2 linked regions of the Tamandua tetradactyla genome follow. The protein of the gene in region 2 interacts with the protein of the main gene of each other region in a pairwise test. Links are inferred from orthologs where the notes say so. Each region holds a gene or a part of one and is shown on either strand. Other genes may lie near its edges.

What was found. The genes of interacting proteins can lie anywhere in the genome.
Region 1: the proteins of PER2 (region 2) and CRY1 interact in a two-hybrid assay, tested with the Homo sapiens proteins (5 studies listed by BioGRID, with this or other methods). The link is inferred for Tamandua tetradactyla from reciprocal best matches to the Homo sapiens genes PER2 and CRY1.

The regions. Positions count from the first base shown.
Region 1 is NC_135333.1:23,633,920-23,641,720, reverse strand, and holds the start of CRY1 (cryptochrome-1), read left to right. Parts: upstream 1-4,801; 5' UTR 4,802-5,424; coding exon 5,425-5,582; intron 5,583-7,801.
Region 2 is NC_135329.1:214,847,366-214,854,555, forward strand, and holds the start of PER2 (period circadian protein homolog 2), read left to right. Parts: upstream 1-4,179; 5' UTR 4,180-4,279; intron 4,280-7,190. UniProt on the Homo sapiens protein: Transcriptional repressor which forms a core component of the circadian clock.

The sequences.
Region 1 (7,801 bases), on a different chromosome or scaffold from region 2:
AGAGTGAATATTACCCAAGGACTTACACCCTACTTGGGGAGATTTAATGCATTTCTGGTTGTACGTAGGACAGTTGAGTATTGCTAGGCAAGGAAAAAATGTGTGTTATTACTTTCTAGTTAAAGATTAAGTATGGTTTAAGGTGATGTGTATAGCTGCCAAGTTTACAAGGGGTGGACAGTCATGGTCAGGTTCATGTGACAATTTTGCCAGATGGTGGTGCCCAGTCATTTGGTTGGGCAAGTGCTGACCTGTCTGTTGCTATGAGGACATTTCATGGACTTAAATCATGATAATGTTAGCTGTATCCACAGCTGATTGCTTTTGTAATCAGCTAAGGGGAGGGTCTTCTGCAATGTGTGGTGCTTAATCTAATCACTGGAAGGCTTTTACTGAGGATTCAGAAGAGAGAGTCACTCTTCCTGTCTCAGCCGGTGAGCTTTTCCTGAGGAGTTGTCGAGACCCTTCACTGGACTCAGCAATTTTCAGCCTGCCTCACAGACCTCGGACACTTACATTCCCACGGTTGCCTAGCCAGCCTCACCTGAGAGCTAGTTGAGGACCTTTAGCGGTTACCAACTTGTGATCTGCCTTACAGATCTTGGACTCTACATTCCCACGGTTATGTGAGACACTTTTACAAATTTTATATCTACGGATATCTCCTGCTGATTCTATTTCTCTAGAGAACACTAGGTAATACAAATGGATTATATATGTAACTGTTTTTTAGATTCTCCTTTTAACCCATTGTAACATCTTAACTGCTTTTCTCATTAATTAATGAGTTAAATGAAATTCTTTACATATGCTTATTTTATATTCATATGAGAGTTATAATTGTACCTTCTTAGAAAGTAAGTATTCTTTAACAGAATTAAATCCACATCCCAAAGACACCAGCATGTGGGTACTCGGCCAAAGGCTGAGAGCCTAAAATTCACATCAAATCACAACTGAATGGATTGGTTCTGAACTGTCTACTTCTTCAGTTAACATATCCCAAAACTTGGGCCTGGTTTACAGATGATTCTGCATGATATCCAGGTACCAACCGAAAGTGGACAGCTGCAGCACTACTACCCCTTTCTGGAATGTCCGTGAAGGACACCTCTGCAAGATGGGGTCAAGAGAGAACACAGGCTTTCAGTTTAGAGGCTGACATACTTCTATCAAGAGTGCTCATGAAATCATAGAGATAGTGATTTTTCTAACATTGTTGGCAATTAAAAGAATGTTTCACAGGACTGTTAGACATTTTTGAGCCCATGGCAGGATTGTATTCATAGAACTCCAGAATTTTAAAATTATATAGGTGTTTTAGTTTCCAAGCTGCTAAAATAAACACCATACAATTGGTTGGCAGAACAACAAGAATTTATTGGCTCACAGTTTCAGGGCCAGTATATTCAAGCTGGCTGGCATCTCGGGGGGTCCTTGGCTTTCCCTCACAAGACGCATGGTAGCATCTTCTCTTTCTTCTGGGTTCCACTGACTTCTAGCTTCTTGCCTTCCTGTGGCTTCTCCCTGTGTGTCCAACTTCCTTTGCTTATAAGGACTTCAGACATATTGGATGAAGGTCCACACTCATTCAGCTTGGCATACCTTAACGAATAACATCTTTAAAAGCCGACATTTACAAATTAGTCCACACCCAAAGAACAGGGGTTGGGACCTGAGCATGCCTTCTGTAGGTGTCATGATTCAATCCCCAACGGAGGAAACATAGAAATCATCTAGTTCGAGCCCCTCAATTTATGAATGGAGGCCTAGGTAACCTGTTCAAGACCATCAACTAACTAGCAGAGCTGGGATAGAAGCCAGTCTCTTCTTCTTAGACCCAGAGTCAACCAGAATTTCAAAAGTGACTTATGAGAACGCTCACTCACTCCATTTCTCACTTCTTTCACTCCTCATACATAAATGCTAATTCTCAAAGAGAAGGGAAGAGGGAGTCAGTGAGATTTAGTATATGATAAGGAAACAGTTTGGGGTTTATACAAATGCTGGTTTGAAACTGTCATGTACCCCAGAAAAACCATGTTCTTTTAATACTAATCCAATCTTGTGGGGCAGACCTATTGTTTGGGTGGGACCTTTTGATTAGGCTGTTTCCATGGAGATATGACCCACCCAGTTGTGGGTAGGACCTTTTGATTAGTTGGAGATGTAATCTCACCCATTCAAGGTGGGTCTTAATTAGTTTACTGGAGTCCTTAAAAGAGCTCGTGGAGAAAAAGAGCTCAGAACTGACACACAGAGCATAGAGATGAAAGCTTAGACACAGTTGTTCAGAGATGCTGAGAGAGCCATTTGAAACCAGAAGCTGGGACAGAAGGGCAGCAGATGTCTCCATGTGCTTTCCCACGTGACAGAGAAACCCTGGAAATTGGCCTTTCTTAAGTGAAGGATTCCTCTTGTTGGTGCCTTAATTTGGACATTTTCACAACCTTAGAATTGTAACTTGTAACTTAATAAATACCCTTTGCAAAAGTCAATCCATTTTTGTTATATTGCATTTTAGCAGCATTAGCAAACCAAAACATAGTCTTGATTTTTCATCCTGATTGTACTACTATTTATATTTTTGAGCTTTAGTTTCTCCATCAGCAAAGTGGGCATGTTATTATTAATAATAAAGTGTCTCATAAAATTATTATGAGGATTAATAATAGCTGATATAAAGCACCCAGCACACAGTAGGTGCTCAACAAGTTATAGCTATGATTAAATGGTAACTCTCCACCAAAACAAAGATATATTAAAATAATCACCCATGTGCCAAAAAAAACCTTCGGTCTTTGAGCAATGCACACTTTACAGTACTGATGCTTTTATATTAAAGTAGCACTGTAATGTTTAAATGAAAGTTACACCTACACCCACACACAGCTGTCTGTTAAAAATATCTTTTATTGAATGAACAATTCACAAACCCAAATCAACTCTATGTGGATCAATATTCCTTTCACTTCCCACTTTTTCATTGGGATGCTCAAAAACAATTCTTTTCTCTTTAGACAGTTTGCTTACTCACAAACAGCCTAACATGAAATGTAAAACATTGTATTTTTTAAAGTATGATAAGCCCTGGAACACCAGGGAATCCACGTAAGGGCTCTGTGGTGAGAACTTCTGAGTGGTAAGCCATTGGAGCTTTAGAGTGGTAAGGAATTACCCAGGGCTCCTCCCCATCGATACAAATACTAGTATTTGCTTAATACTTTATAGCAAACAAAAGGTTTCCATACATACACAATTTTAAATGGTCTTATAGAAACCAAAGAAAGAATTACTTTCCCTAAGGCAACAGAAGTAAGAGTTGGCTTCATAAATGTCTGAATTTACTTTATTGCAGTTTCCTTCCTCCTTTTTATCTTGCCCACCACAGTAGTGACAAACAAAATTCATTCACTTATTCAATAAACAGTTGAGTGCATGTGTCAAACTCTGTTCTTGGTATTGAGGAAACAAAAAAAAAAAATAAAACTAGTCAGGGATCTTCATCTTGAGAAGTCACATTTTGGTGGGAATCAGAGAGACACTTTTATGATAATAAGTACAATTACTGAATACCTACTTCGTGCTAAAAATTACAGTAGGCACTTTTCATTTAATCTTCATCAGGATAGTGTAACGTATGCATCAGACGCATGTATGACAGCTGGGAAGAGGCCTCAATCTGCCCTGAGAGACAAGCATAGTTTCACTAATTACATAGAAAGATGTGCAGAAATATTCCAGGCAGCTCAAAGTTCGTTCTAGTAAGGAGCCAATTCCAAAGAAGGGCATTTTATAGAGAAAAAAATTGCAAGTTCAAAAGTTAAGAGACATGGTAAACTACAGGAGTACTGGGATTTTTGTGTTGTTATATTTTCTCCTGTATCCCCAGCACCTCGAGCAGTGTCTAGTAAATAATGTCTCAGTAAGTAATTGTTGAATGAATACAGGCGTATCATAGGGCTAAGGAAATACTACAGCCTGCGGTTCATTATCGCTGGAAAGGTAGACAAGAATGAAAAGTAAGCCATACCAACTTTAAGAGATCAGGGGTGATGTGGTGATGGATAGTAATAAGGCTAGTTAAGAACAGGAATACTGGTACCCGCCCTGTTATTAACCCTTCTCCCGAGAAAAGTCCAAGGATGCCGCACCGTGAGGGACAGGAAATTGGTCGCTGCGCCAATCGACACTCACAAAGGAGGGCTCTCTGACCGAAGCTGGACTGAAGCACATGGTTTGGGCTCTAAATCTAAGTAGAGGCTACTACTCTTCTCCTTCCACCCCATCCTTCCCTCGTTCCTCGTTTGGTTCCACCACCTACTCAAAACACTCGAAACTGCATTCCGGCGATCCCCAGCACCACGCCACGAACCCTAGAGCGCGTACCGGCCCTGCCCCGCCCTTCTACTCTACAGGACGCCGTGAGAGCGCACGCGCGCCTTTCAGAACGAAGCGCGCACCCGCGAGCTTCCCGCATCCCCGTGCTCATCCGGGTCCCACTGAGTCTCAGCCAATGGTAGTGGCTCACGGCCCTCTGGGGCGAGGTTTAGTCTTCCCTCACATGGGGCCTATGATTGCTGCTGGCGCCTCCAGGGAACGGCGACCAAAAAGCGGAGTACAGGGCCTGAGTCAGGGAGCCCAACTTCTGGACGAGAGTCGACAGCTTTGGGGCTGAGGGACCTTACACCCTTAAAAGCACCCGAACCGCGAACAGATTCTTCAACCAGAGCCGGTGTAGTAAACACACTTCAGAAACGTGAGGTGCCGGTGGTCACATGGGGAGAGCGCCCACCAATGATGAGTCAGGGGCGGGGCCGAGGCCGCTGACGCGGCGGCGGCGGCGGCGGCGGAGTCACCCGGGCAGCCTCGGGATCGGTAGCCCACCGGCTACCGTCCAGCAGTCTAGACCCCGGCCTTCGTCTTTGCTGGTTTTTCCCCCGCCGAGAGGCAGCGTTGCTGACAATGGCTGAACCCTCTCTCCTTCCTCGCGGTGACTCGCCTCCGGCGGGCCATTTTCTCCTCACGGGCCGGCTCGGTGGGGCGAGGTTTCCGTGACCAACCACCTGGGACTGCCGGTGCCGGCTCCGGCCATCGTGGCGGTTCGAGCTCCTGGAACTTGCTCACACTCCGGGGATCCGAGGCCCTCGAACGTATGCGTGTCGTCTAGGCGATTGCGGCCGGCGTCGGGCCCTAAAAGGTGTCACTCCCGGACACCGCTGACTGGGCAACCTCCATTCGTCTTCCAGCTGCGCCTCCGGCGCAGTTTCCGCCGGTCTCCTCCTCGGAGTAATTTTTTCCTCTGTCCCCTCCACCGCCCTTTCCTCGCTCCTTGGGGGCGGCGATTCTCCTGGAAGCGAAGGTGTAGGTTATGAGCTGGATCTTCCTTGCTTAAATCGCTCTCTGGAGGGGCTCGTCGCCGGGATGGGAGTGAACGCGGTGCACTGGTTCCGAAAGGGGCTCCGGCTTCACGACAACCCCGCGCTGAAAGAATGCATTCAGGGCGCCGACACCATCCGCTGCGTCTACATACTGGACCCCTGGTTCGCCGGCTCCTCCAACGTGGGGATCAACAGGTGGCGGTGAGTGAATCCTGGGGAAAATTAATTCCGGTGTTTGATGAATCCGGACTTGATAAGCGATCAGCCGAATCCGAGAGTCTTGACCTGGGAGCGCCTTGCTTGTACTATTTAAGAATTGTAGGTGCTTTATGTTCGTATCAAATATAATTGACAGTATTTTTTCTGGCCAGAGAGTCAGCTTGGCCTTCATCTTTGTGTCACTACGCTCATGGGACCTCTTCCCCCTGAGTTTAGGGAGACTTAGCAGCGGTGGAGTTAAACAGCTTTTCAGTCCTTAGTGGCCTCGGGATTGATTTCCTGGGCCTCTTTGTGGCCTTCAAAAGGATCATTGTTTTTAATGTTTACGTTTGTGTAAGTAATTCATAGTATGAAAAAAAAATCATTCATTCAGTACAGTCGTCTCCAAATACAGTTTTCTTCCACCTTCAGGTTGCTGTAGGAAAAGCAAGAGAAGCATCATTATCTGGTTTCTCTATACTCAGTGTTCTTCTCAACTCCTCCTTGTGGTTGACCAGACAAAGCACACTTTTTCTTTCTAGGCAAAGTATAATCCTTCTAGGGACCAGAGATCTGAAAGAAATCTAAGAGAAGCTTTATTATCTGTTCCTGAAGTATCAGGCTAGGTGATTGTTGGACCTCCTGGTGGAAATAAAATTATTCATCTAACGAATAGAATAGTGGTCACCTCCTGTGTGCCAGGTACTGCTTTAAATGCCAGAGATACAGCAATGAAGGAAACAGAAATTCTTGTCTTCTTTGAGCGTATATCCCAAAATGTGAAATACGTAATATTTTAGGTAGTGGTAAATGCTATGGGGGCAAAAAGAGCAGAAAAAAGAGATAAGGAATATAGGGATGGGCTTTGTAATTTTAAATAGGTTGATTGGGGGAAACTCATTGAAAAGGTGATATTTGAACAAAGACATGAAGGAGGTAATGGAATGTGGATATGTAAGGAAAGAGCATTCCAGGCCGACGGAACCGTAAGAAAGAGAGCCTGAGGAGGAAACATGCTTGCCTTTGGAGGGAAAATGGGAGGAGTCAGTATTGACTGGAGGGGAAAAAATTAGGTGACAGTATAAGTGAGCAGAAAAGTAGTAGTAGTAGAAGAGGTCAGAGATGTAATAGGACCAGATTGAATAGATCTTTATAGACATTTGTCAAGATTTGTACTTTTACTGAGTTAAGTAGGAAGACGGGATCTGAGTTAAGTTTGAAAAGAATTTCTCTTGCTGTGATTCTGAGAACAGACAAGACTGGGGGCTGGAGGTGGACAAGAAGCGGGAAGACCATTTAGAAAGCTATTGCGTTCTTCTGGGAGAGAGATGATAAGGGTCTGGACTGTGGTGATAATGGAGGAAGTGGTGAGAAGAATTCAAATGCTGGGTGTATTTTGAAGGCAGAACCCCCAGTGTTTGTTGACAAATTGGATATGTTGGTGTGAGAAAAAGAGTAGTTAGGAATAATTTCAAGATTTTTAACTTGATAAGCTAGTGGGATAGAGTTGCACTTTGCTAAGAAAATGAAGTCAGAGAAGTCATTAAGAGGATGATTGAGTCCTCTTGGGCCTGGTTAAGTTTGAGATGGAGTGCTTTACCTATTTCATATGCTGCTGATAGGTCAAGGAAGATGAGGGCTGCAATTAAAAACTGAATTTAGCATTTTGAGGTCATTTGTAATCTTGTTGAGAGTTCAAGTGGTTTCAGTAGTGTCAGAAACAAGAGCCATTTTGGAACAAAGAGAGGTAGGGAGAGGGTTGGGGACAACTCACATGGACAGCTCTCTGGAGAACTTTTACTATAAGGGGATCAGAGAAATGGTGTGGTTCCTGGAGGGGGATGTGAAGTTGAAGATTCTTTTTAAGATGGAAGAAATTACAGTATGTTTGTATGCTGAAGGAAATGATACAGCAACTATATGTAAAACAATTTTTCATTAGCAGAAATAGTGTCATTAAACTTCACATCCTAAAGAGGCAGGGACTGAGTTATATTCAATCTGTTCTCATAGCACCAGATTGAGTGCGTTTTAGTAACTCAATTACTTTTTGTTGAATGAAGTGACATCCTGATGTCTGTAATTTTATATTTTAACAACTTTATTAATTTCCCTATTGACTATAGGATAAAGCCCAAATTCCTTACCTTGACATTCAAAATCTGCCTTTTGACCTTTGTAATCTCATTTTTTCTTTTCATATGTGACCTCAACTATTCAGG
Region 2 (7,190 bases):
AGGCACGATGGATGCAGGGTTCTTGGCCCCCTCCAAGACAGTGAGAGGTGCTGAGGGCTCTGGGGGTGCTCAGCAGGACAGGGGAGACAGCCTCAAGGTCCTAGAAGGGTGGCCGGGAAGCGAAGGGAACTCCTGAGCACCCCCGGCTCCCCAGAGTGCATGGCTCTCCTTTCAGTTAAATTCTTTGTTTTCTTTTATGGCTTCATGACCAGGAAGTTTGAGGTTTGAATCCTTTCTCAAGCGACACGATTACAAAGAGCTTCTTGGATGCAGTCAAAGCCAGGCCTTCCAGTTGCAAACAGATAGTAAGAGAAGTCAGTCCAGAACGTATTTTCTCATCAGATGGAGAGTAATGAAGAGGAGACTTAGGACACAAAGGCAGGATCTCGGGGCACCACTTTCTAAATTCATTTATATTTTTTGTTTTAAAATACGGTAATGGGGCAGGCAACAGTGGCTCAGTGGCAGAGTTCTCATCTGCTGTGCTAGAGACCTGGGTTCAATTCTGGAGCCTGCTCGTGCCAAAAAAAGAAAGAAAAAAAATACAATGATGAAGCAAGCAAATTGGTACAGAGAATTGTATAACAGAGACAAAGGTAGGGGAGTTTATTTGCATACCTGCAAAAAAATAAAAAGATTCTGGGGTACAGTATTTAAAAATAATAATTACCATGGAATAAAAGCTCACTGGACCCATTTACGATTTTTTAAAAAAGCTCTCACAGCGAACTACAATAGAAGGGAACTTTCTTTATGTGATAAAGGATGTCTACAAAAAAAAACACGTTAGAATGCCCAGCTTTCATGCAGGAGACCCGGGTTCGATTCCCGGACCATTTAACCAAAAAAAAACCCAAACCCAAACACCTGAGGCTGACGTCACGGAACACTGGGACAAGACCAGAAGCAGGAAGCTCAGTCTTGACACTCCTATTCAGCGCTGACCTGCTGGTTCTAGCCAGGGCACAAGTGATTTGATGTGAAGATGTCTTTTGCCAAAGGCCACCAGGAAGATGGATACCTGGCTCTCTGGAGAGTTTTGTGCCAAGACACATCGGTCCCTGTCCAGAGGGTCTTCTCCAGGGCGGGTGAAGCGAGGCTAGGGCTGCACATCCATTGCTGATGGTTCAATCCTGAGTTCTCGGGGCAAGGCCGAGAAGTGGGTAGCACAAACACATGCACACGTGTACAGGTCTGCCAAAGCACAGATCTATGTTTAGTTTTTAAAACTTAGCCTGCTCAGTAGGCGGATGTCACCGTGCAACTAACGTCTTTGCAGGGGTCTACCAGACCATGCACATCCAGGAGAAACACCTGCCCTGGGTCACCTGCCTGGCTCAGGTCCTTTCCCATCACCGGGAACAGATGGGTCCCTCTCTCCCGGTCATAGCTGCCCAAGCTCTCAGGTGCACCTCTGGAACAGGCTGAGGTTCTCCCTGCCAGGAGCTGCCACGCTGTCACGCCCAGGGTAGGTGGGTGTGAGCAGCTGTGGACCAGCAGCAGGCACGAGGACAGAAGGGGACTATGGGTCAGATGTCCTCATCTCCCACGGGCGTGTCCCTAAACTCAGGTAGGGGGCCAGAAAAAATGATAGCACCTGTCCATCTCTGTAGAGAGAATTTTCCGAGTCACCACCCCACATTCTCCCCCTTAGCCTGCTGTTCTTTGCCTTCACGACTCGGGCCCACCTAGCAGACCCCACAAACTGCGTGTCAGCACAGTACGTGGCACACAGTGGCTGCCCAGTAAAGGGCTGGCTGACTGAGGGCATGAGTGAATGTGAGAGCCAGTGAATGGTCAGGCAAGGCATGGGGGCCTGGGCACAGAGGGGCCCCCAGGCAGCACCCAGGCATGGGTGGGTGAGGCCTACGGGGGCCACCCCATTGGTGGAATGGGCTGGTAGGAATGGGCTAGGCAGAGGCAGGGCTGCCTTTGGTCAGGAGGCCTGCGAAGGCTGAGGCCAGAGGTCAGCTCCTCCCATGGCCAGCACTGCCCAGCAACTGGGGACCCCAGTTCCCCCACCCAGCTGCTGAAGAGCTGGCTTCCTTCTTGCCAGCCTGGCTCCCCCAGAGCCAAAGCAATTTCCCTGCCCAAGAGCCCTGTGCTGGAGAGACAGCTGGTCCTAAAGCACTTCCAGGCCAGCGTAGGCTCGTTGGGAAAGGATTCATTCCACTTCTGCCTCCAATCTGACTCCCCCAGCTTGCGCGCGCGCGCACACACACACACACACACACACAGTTGCTCACTATGGAGCCTCGGCGAGTGGCTGTCCTGGCTGTGGCCCTGCTTGTAGATGTTGGAGCCCCGCAGCATTCTCCTTTGGAGCTGGGCAGGAGGCTACTGGGCAGGCCCATATTGCACCCCAGCACAGAGCAAAATGGCCTCCAAACCTGCCTTATCACCCCTCCCACATCACAAACTCCTTACAGGCGGGGATCCCAGGAGATGCTGATTTGCGTGCCCTGCCCCCCCCCAACACTCGCTCATCAACAAATATTTGTGGAGCAAAGGAAAGTTTCCAAAAACCAGAAAGAAGAAACTAGCTGTGTGTCCCTGCAAATAGATTAATTCTAAAGAGCCCTGGAACCCCATATGTTTGATAGTTTCCAAAATAAATGGTTTCACTAGCTTTCTACCAGATTTATTGGTGGAAAAAGAAAAGGCTAAATTTAGGAAAGAGGTATTTAGGAAATTATTAGGCCGCAGGCCAAAGAAGAGCAGGACCAAGGAAAAGCTGAGCATGCAGGCGAATCCGGGAACGTTCCAGCTGTCTCTTCTTCCCAGAACAACGGTCACCACCATTGACGTCAGTGCCTGTGCAGAGACAAAAGGGCCTTTGGGTGTGTGCAGGGTGCAGCTGGGCCTGGATTTGCTTGGCATTTGCCTGTGCGTGTGTGTGTTAGGGAGAGCGGGCGTGGAGAGTGTTGAGGTGTCAGTGTCAGAGAAACGGGGGAGGGGCCACTCTACTGCAGGGAGCCACAAAGCAGGCGTCTGGGGGTTTACCTTGGCAGGATGGACCTATGACCTACATCTCTACCCTGTTGTGCATCTGTGTCCAGAGAAGTTGCACACACACCTTGTCAAGGAGAGGAAGAGAAGTGGCTCACTCGGTTTCTGAATGTGGGTTAGTGAGCTTTGAGACTTGTAGCTCAGTTGCCTGCAGGTTACCGGGTCAGTTTCCTTCCCTGGTCCCCAGGAGGGGCAGGAACAGGAAGGGCGGAGGGAAGTTGCGGGGAGGCTCCTTGGCAATCCCCAGAAGCCTGGCCTCCCCCATCAGACCCCCGCTGCCACTGATTTCCCAGGTGCCTTGGAGCCTATAGGCTGTGCCTCATCCCACTCACCCTCAGAGCTGCCGCCTCCATCACGTCTCTGGGGATGAGGCTGGCTCGCCTTAAGATACAGCCCCTGCGCCCAGTTAATCGAGTATGTGTATAGAAGTGCCCTTTTCCAGAGCAGTCCCTGTCCCCCTGATGGTACTGTTTGGGGCAGGCAAGGGCATCCCCCTCTATTTCTCTCTCCAATAGGTAACAGCGGCCCTATTTCCTGAGCCAAAAATTGCGACATGTTTTCAAACACAAGGAGAGTCCTTGGAAGCAGAGTGGCCTGGGGCCTGGGGCCTGGGGTCAGCCCCAGGGCGTCCAGCGGGGCGTGCGGGGGCCCTGGCGCCTTCCCTGGGCGGTCTGCGCGCGGGTCCTGAACGAGTGAGAATATGAATGAGTGGGAAGGAGCGGCTGAAGGCTCTCGGTCCCCGAATGCGGTCGCGCCCCTGGGCTGGGCTCCCGCGCAGTATCCGCTTCCCGGGGAGAGGCGCGCAGACACCCGCCGCGGCGCAGCCCCGCGGCCATCAGCCCCCACCCCCGCCCCGCAGTGGTACGCGCCACTCCGCGCTCCCCGAGCCGGCCGACGCGCCGAGTCCTGAATGGAAAACGCCGAGGCCGGAAGTGGAGGGGACCACTCGAGAGGAGGCGGAGGGGGGCCGCGTTTTCATTGACAAACCGACGCGGTGAACATGGAGTTCCATGTGCAGCTTATGTAAAGAGAGCGACACGCGCCGTAGCCAATGCGCTAGCGCGGCTTGCCGGCCCGGCCCCCCAATATGCAAATGAGGCCGCGTGACGGCCAATGGTGGGCGTCGGGGGCGGGCCCGGCACGCGCCGTCACGTTTTCCACTATGTGACAGCCGCGGGCCCGCGAGTTGGCTGCGGAGGCGCGGGAAGGCGCGGGCCGGTGCGGGCAGGCGCTCGGGGGGGCGGCGGGCGGCGGACGACGCACCTGGGCGGTGAGTGGGGCCGCGGCCGCGCGCGGGCTCGGCGGGCGCTGGAGCCGGCTGGGCCGACGCTGTCTTGCAGCCAGCCCGGAGCTTACGTAACCGCGGCCGGAGCCGGGCGGGCCGGGCAAGTCTGGGGTCCGTGCTGTGGGCGGGGCGGGTCCGCGCCGGACGAAGATCTGGACTCCGGGCTCCGGCGGGTCTGGGGTCCGCTCTGGGTCCGGGCGGCCGGGGGCATCGGGCTCCTCCTGACCGCGGAGACGGGAACCTAGAGTTCTCTGACCCCTCTCGGTTTGAAATGGGGCGTGGGGGTCGGGGCGCACAGAAGCGGAATGTGTTATCAGCAGGCATGGGGGGAGACCCCTCGTTTGCAGATCAGGAAACTGAAGTCCAGAGAGTTGAGGCAGCCTGGCCGAGGGCACACAGCTACTGAGTCAGCACCATACTGGACTGTCCTTCTTTAGATGATTTTTTTAAGGAAGACCTCTCCCCTGTCCCTGTGGAGACATGCGTGGGCAGGCCAAGGCCTCTGAGGGCAGGTTCCCCTGTCCCTGGAGCATGGAGGGCCCGTGGGGGGCGGTTTCCTGCTCTGGGGCCAGAGAACCAAGTCTTGGACTGGGAAGGGCCCCCCGGGAGAAGAGCCAAGGCCACTGATGGGGGCTTTGGCTGTGCCCCAGGCACTGGCCTACGGGCTTGACCTGGACAGCCCCTGGGGCCCTAGAATTGGTGAGCGGAGTGAAGAAAGGCCCTGTGCCAAGTGCCAAGCCAGGCCTGGGGACTCTCAGGGCAGGGCCTCCGCTGATGTTCACCCCCGCTGCCCCCCCCCCCGGCTTTCCCCCTGTATTCGTTCCCTCTCCCCACAGTGAGCTGGCAGCAGGGCCTGTCCCCAGGAGGGGTCTCTACTTGATGGTGGAGCAGCACCCCTCTGGGAGGGATACAGAGCGGGGGCCACAGCCTCCCTCCGCTCCAGGGTGACAGGGTGACGGATGGTGACTTGGTTGCCAGGGTTTCTGTAACCCACACAGCCAGGCTGGGGAAAGCTGATTCATACTCCCCGAACGACGGAGCCAGGAGGGGGCTGAAAACCATCCAGGGCTTGACGGAAGGGGAAAACGAGAAAGACCCGATATGTGCTGACATCAGGCCCAGGGCCGTGTCTTCAGGGTCTTTCTCTCCTGAGGGTCTCCATGTGGGTCAGCATGGGCTTCAGAGCTCCCGTGAACCCCGGAAATTGGGTGCGGACTCCCAAGTGGACTGGCATTTGGGAGGAGGGGCCTCCGGGCCCCCCGATGTTGAAAGCCTGGCAGGGTGGCAGAGCCCTTGCTGTGAGCACCGCTCACCGCTGCATCCCGCGCGGCAGGGCTACTCGCTGCTCCCCGGTTCCTGGTCCAGCGCGGGGCTCGAGGACTGGACTCTGCCTGCTCTCCAGACGAAGGCTTTAATTGGAAACTGAGTTTTTAAATCCAGGGCTAATCACTTTGTGGAAGGTGAATGAGTGAAACAAGGAAAATAAATCCACTTGTTGTTTGTAGAGTGAAAGCTCTATGATGTGCCCTGGGGTGGGGCGGGGGTCTGCTGGGCTGTCCTGCAGGCCACCTGGTAACTGTCACCCCCACCTCCCAGCTGTTCCAGGGCGCAAGAGTGGAGGGGGGACGCATGGCCTGCTGCCAGCCTGCTGCATCGGCTCCCCCGCCCGCCCTCGGTTTCCTCGCAGGCCCCGTGGGTCCTGGGGTGGCGGCAGCAGCCCCAAAGAGCACCCCGCTTCCGAGCAAGCGTAACCCTTTCAAAAATACTATATTTGGCAGAACTAACTGGAAACACAGTGCTGCAGCTGTTCCGACACTCTGCCCTTGCCCTGGCGGAAGCTTGCCCGCCTTCGGACCCAACAGAAAACCAGAAGGTGTGGATGTGGCCTCTAGTGGGCCCTTTCAGGGTGCTGGGGCCACCCCCTGAGCGCCTGCGCTTTCCTCCAGGGACTTGGGCCCTCACTGCCACAATGTGTGCTCTTCTGTACATTTGCTGTCGGGTCTGCTATATTGTTTCCAAGTCTAGAGCAAATTAGAAGCAGGGCCGGGGGCAGGGTCAAGGCCACGGCGGGGCCATCTGAGCTCCTCCTGGGGGTGGCCACACAGGGAGATCTGGTTCGGGTCCACTGCGTTCAGAGATGCTCCTGAAGAAACAGCCCTTCCTAGAGCGGGTCAGGTCAGGAAGCCTTGGTTATGTAAGGCGCGAACCCCAGCTCCCTAGAAACGCCATTGCCAGAGCAACCTCTCCCTAAGCAAGCCAGGAAGCTGACTTCTCTGCATTTTTGCTGGTTTGCAGCCTTTGTGTTGTACAGGCTTACGGTTTTCAGGGGCAGAGCCCAGAGTGCTTGAAGGGGCCTCAGTGTGGCTGAGACACCGCCCCGCCCCCGCCCGGGGCGCTCCTTCCCTCCGCTGCTCCCCTCTCCCAGCTCCCGCCGTCACCATGGAAGCACCGTGTTGTGTCGCAGGACAAACATTTTCTCCAGATTCTGGCAGGCTGGCCTCAGGGAATTGGCCTTCCTACCAGGAAGCAGCAAACTGCTTTCAGGTTGGGGATCAGAAGATGCCCCTGGGCTGGCAGGTGGGGGACAAGCTGTCTGATTGTGCTTGAGGCAGGCCAGGCGGGGCTTCCTGGGGACAGGGTGACCGGGCGCAGGGCTGTGCTGAATGACGCGCGACATTTCCGCATGGATCCAGCTGGCGAGGCTGTGGGCCCTGCTCTCTGATCTCCTCCTTAGGCCCCGAAGTGCAGGAGCCTTTGCCAGACCCGGTGGACAGACATGGTGGAGGGAGGCGCTGGGGCCCAGAATGAGCTTTTATTCCTAAATGTTTCTTTTTGCTACTTATTTTGGGAAGCACTGACTTACATGAAAGTAGAGAGGCTAGTGTAATGGGCCCTG